Linked DNA regions of Xenopus tropicalis. The protein of the gene in region 2 purifies or fractionates together with the protein of the main gene of each other region. This does not show direct contact. Links are inferred from orthologs where the notes say so. Each region holds a gene or a part of one and is shown on either strand. Other genes may lie near its edges.

Region 1 (5,277 bases), on a different chromosome or scaffold from region 2:
CTGCTAATTTTGATTAAAGTGATACTGACACGAAAAAAATACTTTTTAAAATATGAATGTACATAAAAAGTTCCCTATAGGTCATGTTGATCATTTTTCATTGATAGGGCTGCTTTTGTAAGTAATTGTTACTTGAGGTTCCTAAACCTGACTGTCCCTTCTCAGCCTGTCAGTTATAGCTTCTAATGTTAACGGACCACTGCTGCACAAATTTGGCAGCCCCCTCATAGGGGGACATGGGGATCAGATAGGTTATATAAAAGCATCAGAAAGTATGTTTACAGCAAAATTATAAAGATCATTCAAAGACAATGTTATGATATATTTAAAGACAGCTTTATTTCAGACGTCAGTATCTCTTTAATGATCCAGGCCTTCAAATTTGCCCATAGCAGATTCGAAACTCAGGTCTTATAGTGAATTACATTGTGAATATTATACTGTATTTACAGAGAATATTGCAAGTTTGCCCTTAATCTAAGGTAACAGACAGCAGCCCAGGGCATCTGAAGTAAGTCAGCTAATTTTAAGATGGGGAGCTACTGGGGGCATATTTGTAGGCACAGATGTTCCCTGCTAATGGGCTATAGTTGCCTTGGCCTAGAACATTAGCCCAAAACAAAGCATAACATGCCCAACCTAATATATTGTTAAACTTCGGTACTACAGAATCCTCCATAGGAGAGTCCATTGTATTTCCTCTAAGCCTGATGTAGAACTACAACTCCCTAAATGAAAGGAAAGCTAAACACAGGGGCACAGGAAGCTGTAAAGGCCATTAGGAGATGGGCCACTACTAAAATTCTGATCCCATGGTGTAACGTGGAACATGGGCTTATAAATACCAGCAATGGATCACTGTCTCCCTTATATAACAAAGGTTTTCTATAGGACATTAAAATCTTAACTCGATTCACGCTTTTTTTTCAACCCAAGTTACTATGGAGTTAGAGGCAACTGAACATGAAGGTCGGCAGCCCAGTGACATTTATAAGCCACATAGGCAAGACCTCCGCAGTGGTTTGGTATATTCCTTAGGGACGCTCTGGACACTGCTATTCACACTACTCGTACCTGGAGAAACAGTCTGTCCTAAAGCTCCAGCCGTGTATCTTCTTCCCCGGAATCCAATCCTTTCCCACGACAACTCCGACACAATCAGTATTCCAAGAACAAAATCGCGCAACTCCGGGTCACGTGTGTGTATCCCAGTGCCGGTGACAGTTTGCGCCGCTCACCTAGCAAAGTCAACGTCAGCTCCAGCCATTGGCTGCATTGTTGGGCGTGCGCGTTATCGCCAAGCTCCAGCTATTGGCTGCATTGTTGGGCGTGCGCGCTACCGCCAAGCGAGGACCTTGGGCGTGACGTAAACGTGGCTCAGCGGCCATTTTGGAACTGGGCAACCTGATTGAAAACACACAGTGAGGCTTTACGTCTCATGCAACTATGTTTGGAAAGTGCCTTGGTTGTCTTTACTCTGTGGGTGAATAAAGCATAATTAATCAGATTATCAAAAGTGATGAACAGCTAAATCGAAATTGGCGCTCTCTAACTTTAAGGCATAGCAAGGCAATATATAGCTATATAATGAACCGTGTATATTGAGAGCCAAAGCGCGGCATTGCTATATAACTGGGCTCTATACACATTATAATACCGCGCATTACCCACATCAAGCGTGGCGCAGCGTGAAGACGCACAGCGTCGATTGGCTGACCAATAACAAAGTGGCTAAACAACAGCGTGCGTGATAGGTTGGAGGGCGGCTGGTTTGGAGTTAGCCAATGAGTTAGTGGGGAGGCTGGAGGTGGTGCCGGGGACGCAGTAGGTGAGGGGAGGACTGCGAGCTTTTCTAGGTATGTGTTCCTATTGTGCTGCCTTTGGCTTATCCGGGGACCTGTGGTCCCTCTGTGCGCCCATCGGGCCTTAGGTAATTAGGTTTTTTTGTCAGGGGTAAGAGGCTTGCTGTATGACTATACCTCCCAGCTATAGCAAAGGCTGTAAGGAGGTGCTGGGAGTTAAAGTCTGACAACAGCACCAAGCTGAACTGCCAGGAATGCGCCTTTCTCTCTATGGGGATAAGGCCGGGGAAAGCTTTTGCTTATGGAATTTTAATCTACATGGGCTCAGTGTTGAATTGTCTGCCACGTCAGGCATTGTTACCACTTGGTTCCATTAGAAAACGGATTTAGTTAGACCTTTATGTAGCAGTGGTGAGGGCTTTCTTAACCTTGGGGGCTATGCCTGGGATATCTTTGGGTCTGGGCACAGTCAGTTTGGGAATGGATTACATGTCTGGCTTTTAAGATGGCCTTACATGTAAGAATTGTAATCTTTCCTGCATTGAGCAGCCATGGCAAAGGTGCAGTAGACAGGAAGGGTAGCATTAATACACATCTCACATGTGACAGTAGAAACTAAAGGGTACTTGTATATAGCCAGAATGGGCTCAACCACTCAACATATATGTACAAAGTTCCATATGATATTACTGTGTGAGCCATGTAAACTTGAGTAACTAAAGGCTAAACATTTAGCAGGTGAATGAAGTATAGTTTCCCAAACAAACACAAAGCATATGCTTCAAACAAGTGTATTGTATAAATATAACTTGTATTCTGACCAAAAAGGTGTATTTGTCTTGCTTGAATGCCAATAGGTTTGCCAAGACATTAGTCTAACAGTCTTTAAAAACAGCAGCTAGTGGCAAATGATGCCACTGCATAAAGATGTTGTATAAGCTGTCCATATGCCAGACAAGCAGATATTTTCTGATTTGACCGTCATACTGGGGGTCCAGAAGTATCTGTTGCATAGGTTCCATACAGTAAGCTGCCAACGCATTGGGAGGGCTGATTATCAGCCTGTTTATGGCGAGCTACAGAGACAGTCTGATCCAAAACACTAGCAAATAAAAGGAGTCATTAATAATTAGAGGAATGGTTTCTTTGTTGTTTGTGTTTACAACTAAGGTTTTCAGGTGGCCATGCACTGGCCAGTCCTGTAGAGCAGTACTATGTGATTGGAGGCCTGTGTGCCAGATGTAACTTTTATTTTCTTACCTGCCCATGAAAAATAAAGAAGTATTAAATGTATGCAGATTATATGGAATCAGATGATTATTACTGCGCTACAGTACTTCTGTTCAGTTGGCAGGAGGTGATGAGTAGCTGCAGTACTGGGCAGCATGCATTAACACGTGATATTTTCAAACATGACATATCATTTACCATTGCAGAGGATTGCAGGGTGGTTTGGCAAACCACTGCCCACAGCCCACAAGAGTAAAGGAACAGTTGTTGGTAGGTAGCAAATTTTTGACAAACAGAAGAAATAATACATGGGTAGCATCTTCAAACAATAATTCTTTGGTATACTATTTTAAAAAAAGTATGTTTTGTGATGGTGAACTGCACGTTAAAAGTAAATAGATCACAGCTTCCTGCTGTTGGTATGTGGGCCAGATATGGTCCTACGGGGCTTTCTTTATGGCCCCCCAGTATGCAGAAGTACTCCATATATTTATTTGTATAATATAATCTGGTCCTTGAACAAAGTTGGACTGGTAAAGGTAAACTGTAGCATTTTAGACAACATCGTGTGACTCAATTTTTTTTACTCCGCTTAGGCTAAGGGCACCCTATGCAGATCCGCATAGTGTCCCTTAGCCTGCATGGGAGTGTTCACCACTAGCTACAAAAATGCTTTTGTTATTTTCTGTGTACTGTATTAATTCAAGTCTTATTGCACATGAAACTGTATAATCCATTAAAAAGCAACATTACACTTCTAGTAACCTTTCCAGTTATTGGCATATGTCATGCTAGGTGACTTGCCATTACCAATTAAACTTACAAGGAGTCTGTGACAGATTGTCCTAGTGAGCCACATTCACTCATGTATGATGCTGGCTTTATCCTCCTACTGTGTCATGTTAACACAGCAAGTATTTTGTTGCTTAGTGAGTGCCAGTTTGTTATTATTGCCAGCATCCTGGCATTTTCTGTATACCTACCTACTGCTGTGAAACAGCACATCTTATTATAAAAGCAACTGCTCATTGCTGGCTTTACATTCCTGTGACTTTAGCCTTCCTCTGAAAATACAATTGCCAAGGTCAGTTGCACAGCTCAAAGACAAGTGGTGAGCAGAAAAATGATTAGCATAGCAAAATCAAAGGGCCTATTTAAATACATAATTTTAGAAAACCTGTTACATTTGATTAATGGGTTAATTCCCTTAAAATAAACTTTAATTGTGCTATGGACAATGATAGTGAAAAACAACAATTTTTGCAGCTTTCCATTTTGGAATTACAATGGTTGTCTAGTTGCTAGGGGTTCAGCTTGACTTAGCAACCTGGCAGCAGTTTATTATTAACAATTATTTATAAAGCGCCAACATATTCCACAGCGCTGTACAATAAGTATAGAATTCTGAGTGGAAGCTGAATTGGCAGGGCTACTTTAGACCGATAATCTATACAATGTACCAGTAACTATAAAAATCTAGCCTGTGTTCTGAAAAGAGGCAGATATAGGATAGCAATTCCAGAACAATAAAATCAAGGTTACGGTAATTAAAAGCAGCTAAGGATAGGCGAAGTTCATTCAAAGTTAAATTTACCTATAAAATACAGAATACCTGTTATATACCTTTAGCTAGATGTGTATAAATGAGTGCTTCTTTTGGTGGTTTTGTAATGTAGAAATGGACTTTCCCCCATTGTTATAGGCATGCAGTTTATAGGGTTGAGTTTTTGTGGCACAGGGCTACTATACAGCTGGTTCTTGCTCCCTCAGCAGTGAGAATAGCTGTTTCACTAGGTACTGTGCAAAGGTGCATTATGCTGCACTGTAAACTCTGAAACTATAGAGCCTTGAAATTAATTTATTTCAATATGCACATAGATGCAGCACTCATGACTAAGTGGGTCACTGGGCATGGGGCAGTTTGCATTTCGATAATAATCCAGCAGTAATGAGTAATAAGAATAAAAGAAGTATGATTTCTTCACAGGACTTATATAACATCAATAGGACCAACATTTCTGCTGGAGGACTACTTTAACTTGAGAAAGGCTTGCAAAAAAGCTCTCTTGATGTTTCTAAGTCTAGTAAAGTTGTGTTTTACTCAGTAGCAGTTCTATCATAGCTTAGGGCCAGTAGACTTTCTGCAAGAGGCTGTGAAATATATGTGGGACAGCCCACATCTGGAATGACCAGTGTTTTCCTGCTAATTGCACTATACTGTCCTCTATATAGCATGATCCAGTAA
Region 2 (5,300 bases):
ATCAAAACATTAGCAGAAAGTGAGACACAGAATTCACTGGTTTATGTGCTACCACGCAATGGCAATATGAAAATATGAATGGCACATGAAATCAGCCTTGTATTGTGAATATATGTTCACATCTGGTATATGCTACCAGAAGGAACTTCATTGGCACAGGCCTTCATAGCTACAGGGCTTAATGCACACTGCTGACTTGTCTCCAGCTGTCCAGTTCTAGCTGCACGAAAACCAGATGTTGCTCTATTTATCTAAAGAGAGATATTGTTGCAGCTTGGAGCCATCCAATTTTAAAGAAAAATGGACCTTTCAGTGTTCAAATATATCAGACAAGTTTTGGGGGCCGTGCCCTTCATGTTCTTGTATCTTTCAGTGGATGCTAAAACTGTTATTTGTGTGCACTCTTAGATATTTACTTAATTTGCACCATTATTAGTTTGTATCCCCTTGCATTATTAATGCATTGTAATGCTCATTGTAGCCTAGCAGCAGTATATAATTATGAATATGGATTAGTATATATTTTAATTTCAACATGGTTTAAACAATTCAATCTGTCTGAACTCCTTCTGACACTTGTAGATGTCATGGGCATGGGAGTATGCCCCATAGAAGTGTACTGGTGAGTATGCTTTACCTCACTAGTTAAACCAACTGATAGCACCCAGGCTGGTCAGATCTGAATCACAACAAAGTCTGCAGGAGACTTATTAGGCTCTGCTGTAGTGACTGGTGGAGGTTATGGAACTTATACCTTTCTAAAATATGGCATCAGACCCAATATTGAATCATGGAATTTAGATGTCCGCTTTTAAAGTTGAGATATAGCGATCCTAGCGGATTTAGAAAATGTCAGTGATATCATGTACTAACACTCTTGCTGTCTCTCACTCAACTCACAAGATATTGGTATTCAGTGTTCTACCAAAACATCAGTTTTTGGTTGATATTCACTATTATGCACATTTGATAAAATAATTTCTTTTATAGACCCTTACAAGTTTCTCAGTGCCATAAAATGTGTTGCCCTCTGACCCAGAGAATAAATGTGGCTTATGGGCAAGTTTACTTGCTATTCTTGTGTTCATCCAGCAGCATGAATGGGAACAGTTTATGTGGATTTGGAAACACATGTAGATCACCATCAGCAAAGATTTTCTTATTTTAACTGAAAAGACCACAAAGATTCTGGCTCCTGTCACATTAAACTGGACACTTTGAACAATAATTTTCAGAATAAACCAGTGGAGATTATTGCCATGTTTTGTATTAAAGGATAGTCCACAACCCACTGGGATGACACATTTTGGATCCCCCATCCAAAACACAATGCTATAGTCAGTACCTAAAAGCGAGCTTGACTTCAGCATTTTACCAGTGGCATAGCCTGCCATAGCCAACACAACACACAGGTTCGGTGATGCAGTTTTGTACAATGGCAGGTTGTTTTACATAATATAAACTTAAATATAAAACAAACCAAAAATGAAATGGCAAGTGATAACCATCCTTGTGAAACATTACCTTGCATTCTGAAAAGTAAACAACCATCCCAGGAAAATACCTTCTCTCTAAGTGTCAGCTATTAATATCAAAGCAACAAAGGGCATCAACAGCTTAACTACAAGACCACCACAAAATTTTTTTTTAGGATCCCCCCCCCCAAAATTTGGGAATAAGATACTTTTTTATTAAACTGCCCTACTTTTACCCCTACTACTGGATCCCTCCAGCAGTGGTACGATCTGCTTCCTTCATAGTTACATTCTAATCAAGGCCTGGACTGGCAATCTGTGGATTCTGGCAAATGCCAGAGGGGCTGCTGTAAAATGCCATAGACAGTATTGATTGGGCTGGTGGGGGCTTATTGGGCATCTGTGTAATGCAGGGCCTATTTAGAAGCCCAGTTCAAACCTGATCTAATCACCAATACTTCTAGTAGCAGATAGGTCAGGACAGGTTTATGTGTGTGCTGGGGTTCACTTAGAGGGGTTGAACTTGATTTTTTTTAACCCAGCTTAACTAGGAACCTGCAAATACAAGGGTGTAACTATAAAGGAAGGGACCATTGCACCTTCTGGTGCCTAAGAGTTATAGGGAACACCTTACGGCCCTGGGCACAGTTTCAGTATTTGAAAACATCTATTCCGAAACCTAAGGTGGCCCTAAAGTTAATTTTGATGTGGGGCTGGGACCATTGCACCTTCTGGGTGCCTAAGAGGTATAGGGAACACCATGGGGCACTGGGCACAGTTTCAGTATTTGAAATCATCTATTCCGAAACCTAAGGTGGCCCTAAAGTTAATTATCATGTAGGGCCCAGTAACCTCTAGTAACACCACTGCCCAAACACATGCAAACATCCTGTAGTGATAGAACTGGTTCAAACCTTTAGGTGACAACAAAATAATGAATTTTCTTGTTGAATAAAAAAAAAAAAAACTATAAATTTCTCATAAACTGGCTGCTGGGGGTGCAGTTTCACTGGAATATATAAATGCTATATCCAACTTTCACACAGATCCAAGCAGGATATAGGATCCCACTCCTTTTATTTTTCAAATATGTATATAAACAAGGCGGCAGGACATTCAAACCCCTGTGCTTAACATAATTCATTAAGGAAAGTGAAAGTAAAACCTACATTCACAAGTGTTATTAAAAAAAAAAAAAGTTTTATGAAGTGTTGCAAGTGTTTCATTTAGAAAATGACAGACGGGAAAGATAAATGCCATCTCGCCACACTTACAAAGTGCCCTACCCCTACGTTATCTAGCTGCGGTTAAACTACAACTCCCAGAATCCCCTCGTAAGCTTTCACTGTGCAAGTACGGGCAGAAAGGTAATTCAGCAATAGACTGACAACCACAAGCTAAATCATGGAGTAGAAGTTTGCCATTCACGCTGCATGCAGCTCCAAGCATGGGGTCAGGGAGGCGGGTAAGAGAAACATGCCGGGGGTCACAATGCAATGCCGGCTTGTGAGAGCCCTGAGAAGTCCCCGGAGCCCTGCCCTTCCAGCCACATACTCTGGCACAGGAGTACCGCTACGGGAGCGGCATGACACCCCCAAATCTCACCTCCCTCCTGACGTTAAGAAGTGAATAATAGTCATCGTTATCCACTTCATCTTCCATAAAGGACGCCGCCATCTTCAGAACCTTTCACCTTGACCGTCGAGTCTTCAGACAAGGTAGGGTCAACCTCCGGCTGAAGGGAGAGCCGGGGGAACAGCGACACCTGCAGAACGGAGGGGACATTGCAGCATCGGCTGTTGAAAACTACCAAGTGACACAAACAAGCTAATACTAGCTATACCAATGATGATGTTATACGCCCATAATTAAGGTGCTGCTTTGCTAGCTGGCAAATTGCAGAAATGCTCTTTAGCTGCATACTGTGCTGGAGTCTAAGTAGACAGGCTGTATGCATTTAAGTGAACAAGAGATGGGTTGTAGTGTTGCTACTGTAGGGATCTATAGGGTTAAACTGCACCTAAGGCTTTAAACCTTACCACTTCTTTAGTCTGTGCTGTTACTGGGCAAAGGCCCATGTATCAGTTTAGAGATACCTTATTGGTTTATAGGTTGACTCCACCCTTTGCACGCCAATATAGTTTGGCAAAGGGGTGGGTCTTCCTCTTTGGCTGCATCTACTGACCGAGGTGGAAGTTCCACTGAGCCTGGGATCAACAGGGCCCCAGTAAAGCATTTTACCCTAGAGTCTGCATCTACTCTAGAGAGGTCAGGGACAGGAACCATGTGAATGAGGACCAGCTAGATAGTTACTCTTGCCGAGCACTTTCTAGTAAAGTGAGATAGAGAGGGAAGGAAGCAAGAGCAGTTTTGGCTCCACCAAAGAAAGTAGTTGGAAGTATTCTTCCATACAGGCAATGTTGCCTTAGCATAGGGCCACGGTTAAGACTTAGAAGGGAGGCAGGCAGTATCTGAATCCTGATCCATAGTTACTGTGGGACCCTGAAGGCTAGAGGTAGTCAACCTGAGGAGTGTGGTATCCAATCTGACTGTTCCAAAGGGTGGCCAAACTGACCAGGTGCACCCTCTCTGCGCTGTCCTAAGAGTATTACTATATTATAGAAGCTATATGTGAGTATTGCAATAACCCTGCATTTTGATTGTCTCTGCCAATAAACCAATTCTATTGTTCAACTGCAAGAACCTTCTGGCGCCCATTTGTTACTTTGCACTGCACACAGTTATAATGGGTTGTAGTTTCACTACACCATAGCTCACTTAGCGAAGGCCCATCCTGAAGGATTGAGTCGCGTGTACCCCATACTCTAAACCTACACTATCCATGCTGTTGGCTTGGTTACATAGTTACATAGGGTTGAAAAAAGACCAGTTTCCATCAAGTTCAACCCATCCAAGTAAACCCAGCACACTTAACCCACACCTACCAATCTATACACTCACATACATACACTATATATACAACCACTAGTACTAACTGTAGATATTAGTATCACAATAGCCTTGGATATTCTGATTGATCAAGAACTCATCCAGGCCCCTCTTAAAGGCATTAACAGAATCTGCCATTACCACATCACTAGGAAGGGCATTCCATAACCTCACTGCCCTCACCGTGAAAAACCACCTACGCTGCTTCAAATGGAAGCTCCTTTCCTCTAATCTAAAGGGGTGACCTCTGGTGCGCTGATTGTTTTTATGGGAAAAAAGAACATCCCCCAACTGCCTATAATCCCCTCTAATGTACTTGTACAGAGTAATCATGTCCCCTCGCAAGCGCCTCTTTTCCAGAGAAAACAACCCCAACCTTGACAGTCTCACCTCATAGTTTAAATCTTCCATCCCCTTTACCAGTTTAGTTGCACGTCTCTGCACTTTCTCCAGCTCATTAATATCCTTCTTAAGGACTGGAGCCCAAAACTGCACTGCATACTCAAGATGAGGCCTTACCAGGGACCTATAAAGGGGCAAAATTATGTTCTCATCCCTTGAGTCAATGCCCTTTTTTATACAAGACAGCACTTTATTTGCTTTAGTAGCCACAGAATGACACTGCCTGGCATTAGACAACTTGTTATCAACAAAAACCCCTAGATCCTTCTCCATTAAGGAAACCCCCAACACACTACCATTCAGTAGATAGTTTGCGTTTATATTATTTCTACCAAAGTGCATAACTTTGCACTTATCAACATTGAACCTCATTTTCCAGTTTGCTGCCCAGTTATCTAATTTTGTCAAATCGCTCTGCAAAGCGGCAGCATCCTGCATGGAACTTATAGTTTTGCACAATTTAGTGTCATCAGC
Region 3 (4,502 bases), on a different chromosome or scaffold from region 2:
TAAGATGCCACAGACAGTCACTATTTATTGGGCTGGGGGGGCTGTTTGGGCCTCTGTGTACTGGGAATGCCAGAGGGGCTGCTGTAAGATGCCACAGACAGTCACTATTTATTGGGCTGCCGGGGGGCTGTTTGGGCCTCTGGGTACTTGTAATGCCAGGGACTATTTTGTATCCTAGTCCGGGCCTGTATCCCTGTGTGTCCTGTGAGCTGCAGCCTGTGTGAGGGGACAGATTATCATCCACTTTGGGAAATTGTGGTGCCGTGTGTGTTGCCAGTTTTTCCTAATTGCTGTGTGTGTGCCTTTATTTGTGCCAGTAATGCAGGGGGGCATCAGCTAGTTTGCAAATGGGTTGCATGTGTGGTTGCGTCAGTACAGCCGGCATGAAGGCTTCTCACTTACCCATGGGCCCTGTACCCTGGGCGCTGTTCCTCAGAGCAGGCTGAACTGCTGCAAAGTACAAGGTGTCGGTGTAAATAAGATTTAAGCACACAGAATTGCATGTGTATATGAGCCTTAATATGTACTATACATTTGTTTCACTAGTTGTACAGGTGCAACGTGGAGCTGTTTGGGTGAGGGGGCTGTTTGCTTTCTGCCCTGATCTGGTGGCTGCACACTTCCTTGTGCTGTATATATGGGGTACCCTTCACAGGGGTTTGTCCGGTTGCCATTGATCATTGGTTGTGTATAAAGGAAATATTTCCATTCATGTTCTACTTATCTTATGTGCAGTGTAACATTCTGCAGTATACTAATAGTATCTAATGATAATGATTTACAGACCGCAAACACACACTCTAAAGGTCCCCATACACGGGCCGATAGTAGCTGCCGATATGGGTCCCTTAGACCGATTCGGTAGCTAATCAGCCCATGTATGGGCGCTACCGACGGGCCTGCCCGACCGATATCTGGCCCGAAATCGGCCGGATCTCGATTGGGCGGGTTAGAAAATCTAGTCAGATCGGGGACTGCATCGGCTCGTTGATGTGGTCCCCAGACCGACTTTGCCTATACCTGTCATTATAATTCGATCATTTGGTCCCAGGGCCAAACAATCGAATTACCCTGGATTCTCCCAATATCACCCACCCGTAGGTGGGGATATCGGGAGAAGATATGTTGCCAAGCGAGCGGATCTTATGGTGTATGGGGACCTTTACTTGCAAATAAAAACTCTTGTGAGTTTATTTATTTACTAACTTTTGCTCCGGGTCTAGTAACTCATGGCAACCAATGATATGATTGCTTTCATGATTCTGACTGCTCTAGACCAGTACAAACTGCTACCCAATGCCCTGTGGGGAAATGCCTAATATGCAGTTGGTTACAAGGACATTCTAAGCACAATATTCCCTAAATTGGGGTTCAGGTAATAACCTTAGGGAAAGAATGGGGTAAAGCAAGAACATGTTATGTAGCTATTTTAAAGACTTTACTGAACTGTAGAGCTGTTCTGTTGTTGGAACTGAGGGGTTAATCATATTTTGTGCCGGCTGGTGTCTCTGCTGGATTTTCCTTTGTAACCTTGGTAACCCATGAATTGGCACCCTGTTAGTGGAACGTATTCCTGCCAGGCATCCTGCTGCAGCACCCTCTGCTCTTGCGGTTGGTCTCGGCCGGGCTGGGCAGGCGCCTTTGAGCCTCCGTGGAACCAGTGAGTCATTAGGAAACCAGGAAATGTATCTGGCTTGTCTGCAGCATCACTTGGCATCATTTACTTGCCGGGGCCTATGAGCAGTACTGATCTCCCATACTGACTGCACTGGTTAATAGGAAATATAATGTCCTGGAATTTCCATTTCAAAGGAAGTGCTAACAGTTACACACAGCCTCTATAATGTATTGGCTTTGATACCAGTGCTCCCAGTGCACCCAGATGTCACTTCCCTGCAAGTTAAACCTATAGTGATTATGCCACCGGGGGGGCTACTGTAAGATGCCATAGACCTGCCCTTTCTATTAGGCCTGAGGGAGGGATGTATGTGCCTCTGTGTATTTGGACTCTCAGGCTGTGCATAATCAATACATTTTCCTTGTTTGTTCTCTATTAGGAATGCCTGTGTAGCAGAGTATCCCTCCGTCCCTTGCGTGCAGCCAGATCCTACTCTACTGCTGAATCATCTGGGTATGTGTGGCTTTTTCTTGCAGCTTGTTTAACTGTTATACCCCAGTTTTTCTTTTAAAACCTCTAGTGGAATGGGAAATAATATACAGTTACACTTTTAGTCAGTGGTTATAGGCCTGCCCATGTAGCGTGCCCAATTTAGCCTCTGATATGTATAAGCAATCTATAGGCCTGTATAAGGCTTTATGGACAGGAGCCTTACTAATGTGCCTATTACTGCCCCATAAGGAAGGGTAGCAAAGCTGCACCGTGTGTTAGTAAATGGGCCCATGTTTGTATATTTTGGCATCAGATGACTTTGCTTTAGGGCACGTGTATTACTGCAGGGTGAATCATGTACATCCATTATCCATGATGGTTCCATTTGTAGCTAATCCTTTATTTACTAAGTCTCAGTAGGCATGCAGTCTGACCAATTTACTACTTTGTTTCTTTTTTCAGTCCCTCTGCTGCAAAGATCATTGGTGCCGGCATCTTGCTCACAGGCGGAGGCATCGGGGGCACTGTCCTGTACGCCAGCTGGGACCCACGATTTCGAGAGAATGTTGAGAAGACTATTCCCTACTCCGACAAGCTGTTTGACTTGGCTCTCGGGCCTCCTGCTCCAGCCAGTCTGCCTGTGCCAAAGAAACCAGTAAGACATATATCCTGCCTCTTATATTAATAATAATAATAAGGCAAATTAGTTTTGCATTTGCCGATTAGAGGCAAATTCACTGTACTCCAGTAGTCCTTCCAAATTCCTTTGCACAAAATAAATGCATTATACTTTTTTTCAGCTAAAATCGGGCCCACTTCAGATTTCCTCTGTGTCTGAAGTGATGAAGGAATCCAAGATGCCTAAGAAAGAGAAGGTCGAGGCTCGTCTACCAACTCCTCCTCCCCCACCTACGGAAAATGTGGATTTGGAAGGTAACGGTGCATATGGTGGAATGGGGGAGCATGGGAGAAACTGCTTTTGCATGTCAGCAAGGGGGGAAATCTATTGTGGGAGATGGGCAGACTAGGGTGAATAGTGGGACACTTGGCATTGGGTAAACCTTCATGTATGGTAAAACCTACCCACATTAATGTGTACATATCTGTTTGTGCAGCATCATCGCATGTAGCCCAAATAATCTCAGCAACTGGGGAAGCTCTGTCTGTTCCGGCTTCAGTCGTTCACGAGGAGGAGTCTTCCAAAGCCTCAGAGCCAGTGGAGCCAGCAGTCACTGCAGGTAGTAACGTTTCAACATAGCGGAAGTTACGGTTTCCAGGGTGGCGACCCAAGCTTCGAGTCTAATGCTATGGTACTTAAAGGCATTCATTTTAAATTAGATATCTTCTAACTTTTTAAAGAGGAGCACTGCAAGGAGTGTGAGCACGAGGCTACGCACAAGTTGAAAGAACGGCCTCCTGAAGAGGTGGCGGCTCGCCTTGTTCAGCAAGATAAGGAAGAACAAGAAAGGATTAAATGTAAGTGTGTGAGTGCTCGTTTGCTGCTATTGGCAGGCACCATTTTACCATGTATTCCCCTCTCTAGCTGTTCTGAATAACCATAAGTAGAAGAAATACAAATCCCCTTCCCAGTTAAACCCCCTGTAACTCCTATATTGGATTCCTTAACTGACTGCCTACGTTGGAATATGCTTATCTTTAGATTCCACTTTCTTATTTGGCCCTAATTAAATACAGAAGTAAGGATGCTGACAATCTAATATACCACAGTACATCACTTTCAGGGGAGACCATCTGACCAATCATTTTCATTCTATAAAGCACAGAGAATGAGCTCTCCATGACTGTATTCCTTATTAACCCATGAGTGGGACAGTGCTGTAGTGTAGCGTGGCCTCACATAAACCATGGGGGGGATTTAAACCAATCTTGTGTGTGTTTCTATATTACCCAAAACCCCTGCGGCAAATATCCATTGCTTCCTCTCCCTTCTTGCCTAGTGACCTGACTGATATTGTCCATCCCCACTGCACTTGCACATTTACGTATCATCAATAAATTGGGCTAGCATAACCTTATATCTGCAATTTCTGTAATGTATCTGCCCCAAAAGGGCCACGGAAATAATGTATGTGCTGTTACTTTTTAGCTATAGCTGCAGCGTTAGAGGATGCGCTGAGCAACACTGCCCGAGTTACACTGCAGGCTATCGGCACCCAGGAGTCAGCAGTGCAGGCTGTCGATTTCCATGCACAGAAGCTCAGAGAAGCCATGGATGAGACCCAGGTAAATACCCTTGACCCCCCTCCCCACACACAACTGAATAGTGACAATCATAATGCCGTGACTGGGTGTGGAAACCATTTACTGCTAAGTGTATTATAGACTCCTTATTCATCTGCTACAGATATCTGCTGACAAAAAGTCGTTGCAG

What was found.
Region 1: the proteins of dnajc11 (region 2) and armc1 purify together in Homo sapiens (affinity purification with mass spectrometry; 4 studies listed by BioGRID and IntAct, counting the BioPlex papers as one, with this or other methods). This does not show direct contact. The link is inferred for Xenopus tropicalis from reciprocal best matches to the Homo sapiens genes DNAJC11 and ARMC1.
Region 3: the proteins of dnajc11 (region 2) and immt purify together in Homo sapiens (co-immunoprecipitation; 3 studies listed by BioGRID and IntAct, with this or other methods). This does not show direct contact. The link is inferred for Xenopus tropicalis from reciprocal best matches to the Homo sapiens genes DNAJC11 and IMMT.

Annotation. Positions count from the first base shown.
Region 1 is NC_030682.2:118,506,918-118,512,194, reverse strand, and holds the start of armc1 (armadillo repeat-containing protein 1), read left to right. Parts: upstream 1-1,837; 5' UTR 1,838-1,856; intron 1,857-1,880; exon of another isoform or gene 1,881-1,930; intron 1,931-3,238; exon of another isoform or gene 3,239-3,302; intron 3,303-5,277.
Region 2 is NC_030683.2:99,798,851-99,804,150, forward strand, and holds the start of dnajc11 (dnaJ homolog subfamily C member 11), read right to left. Parts: upstream 3,169-5,300; 5' UTR 3,153-3,168; coding exon 3,081-3,152; intron 1-3,080.
Region 3 is NC_030677.2:17,818,325-17,822,826, reverse strand, and holds part of immt (MICOS complex subunit MIC60), read left to right. Parts: intron 1-2,057; coding exon 2,058-2,131; intron 2,132-2,572; coding exon 2,573-2,765; intron 2,766-2,910; coding exon 2,911-3,043; intron 3,044-3,225; coding exon 3,226-3,348; intron 3,349-3,469; coding exon 3,470-3,586; intron 3,587-4,217; coding exon 4,218-4,354; intron 4,355-4,475; coding exon 4,476-4,502. UniProt on the Homo sapiens protein: Component of the MICOS complex, a large protein complex of the mitochondrial inner membrane that plays crucial roles in the maintenance of crista junctions, inner membrane architecture, and formation of contact sites to the outer membrane.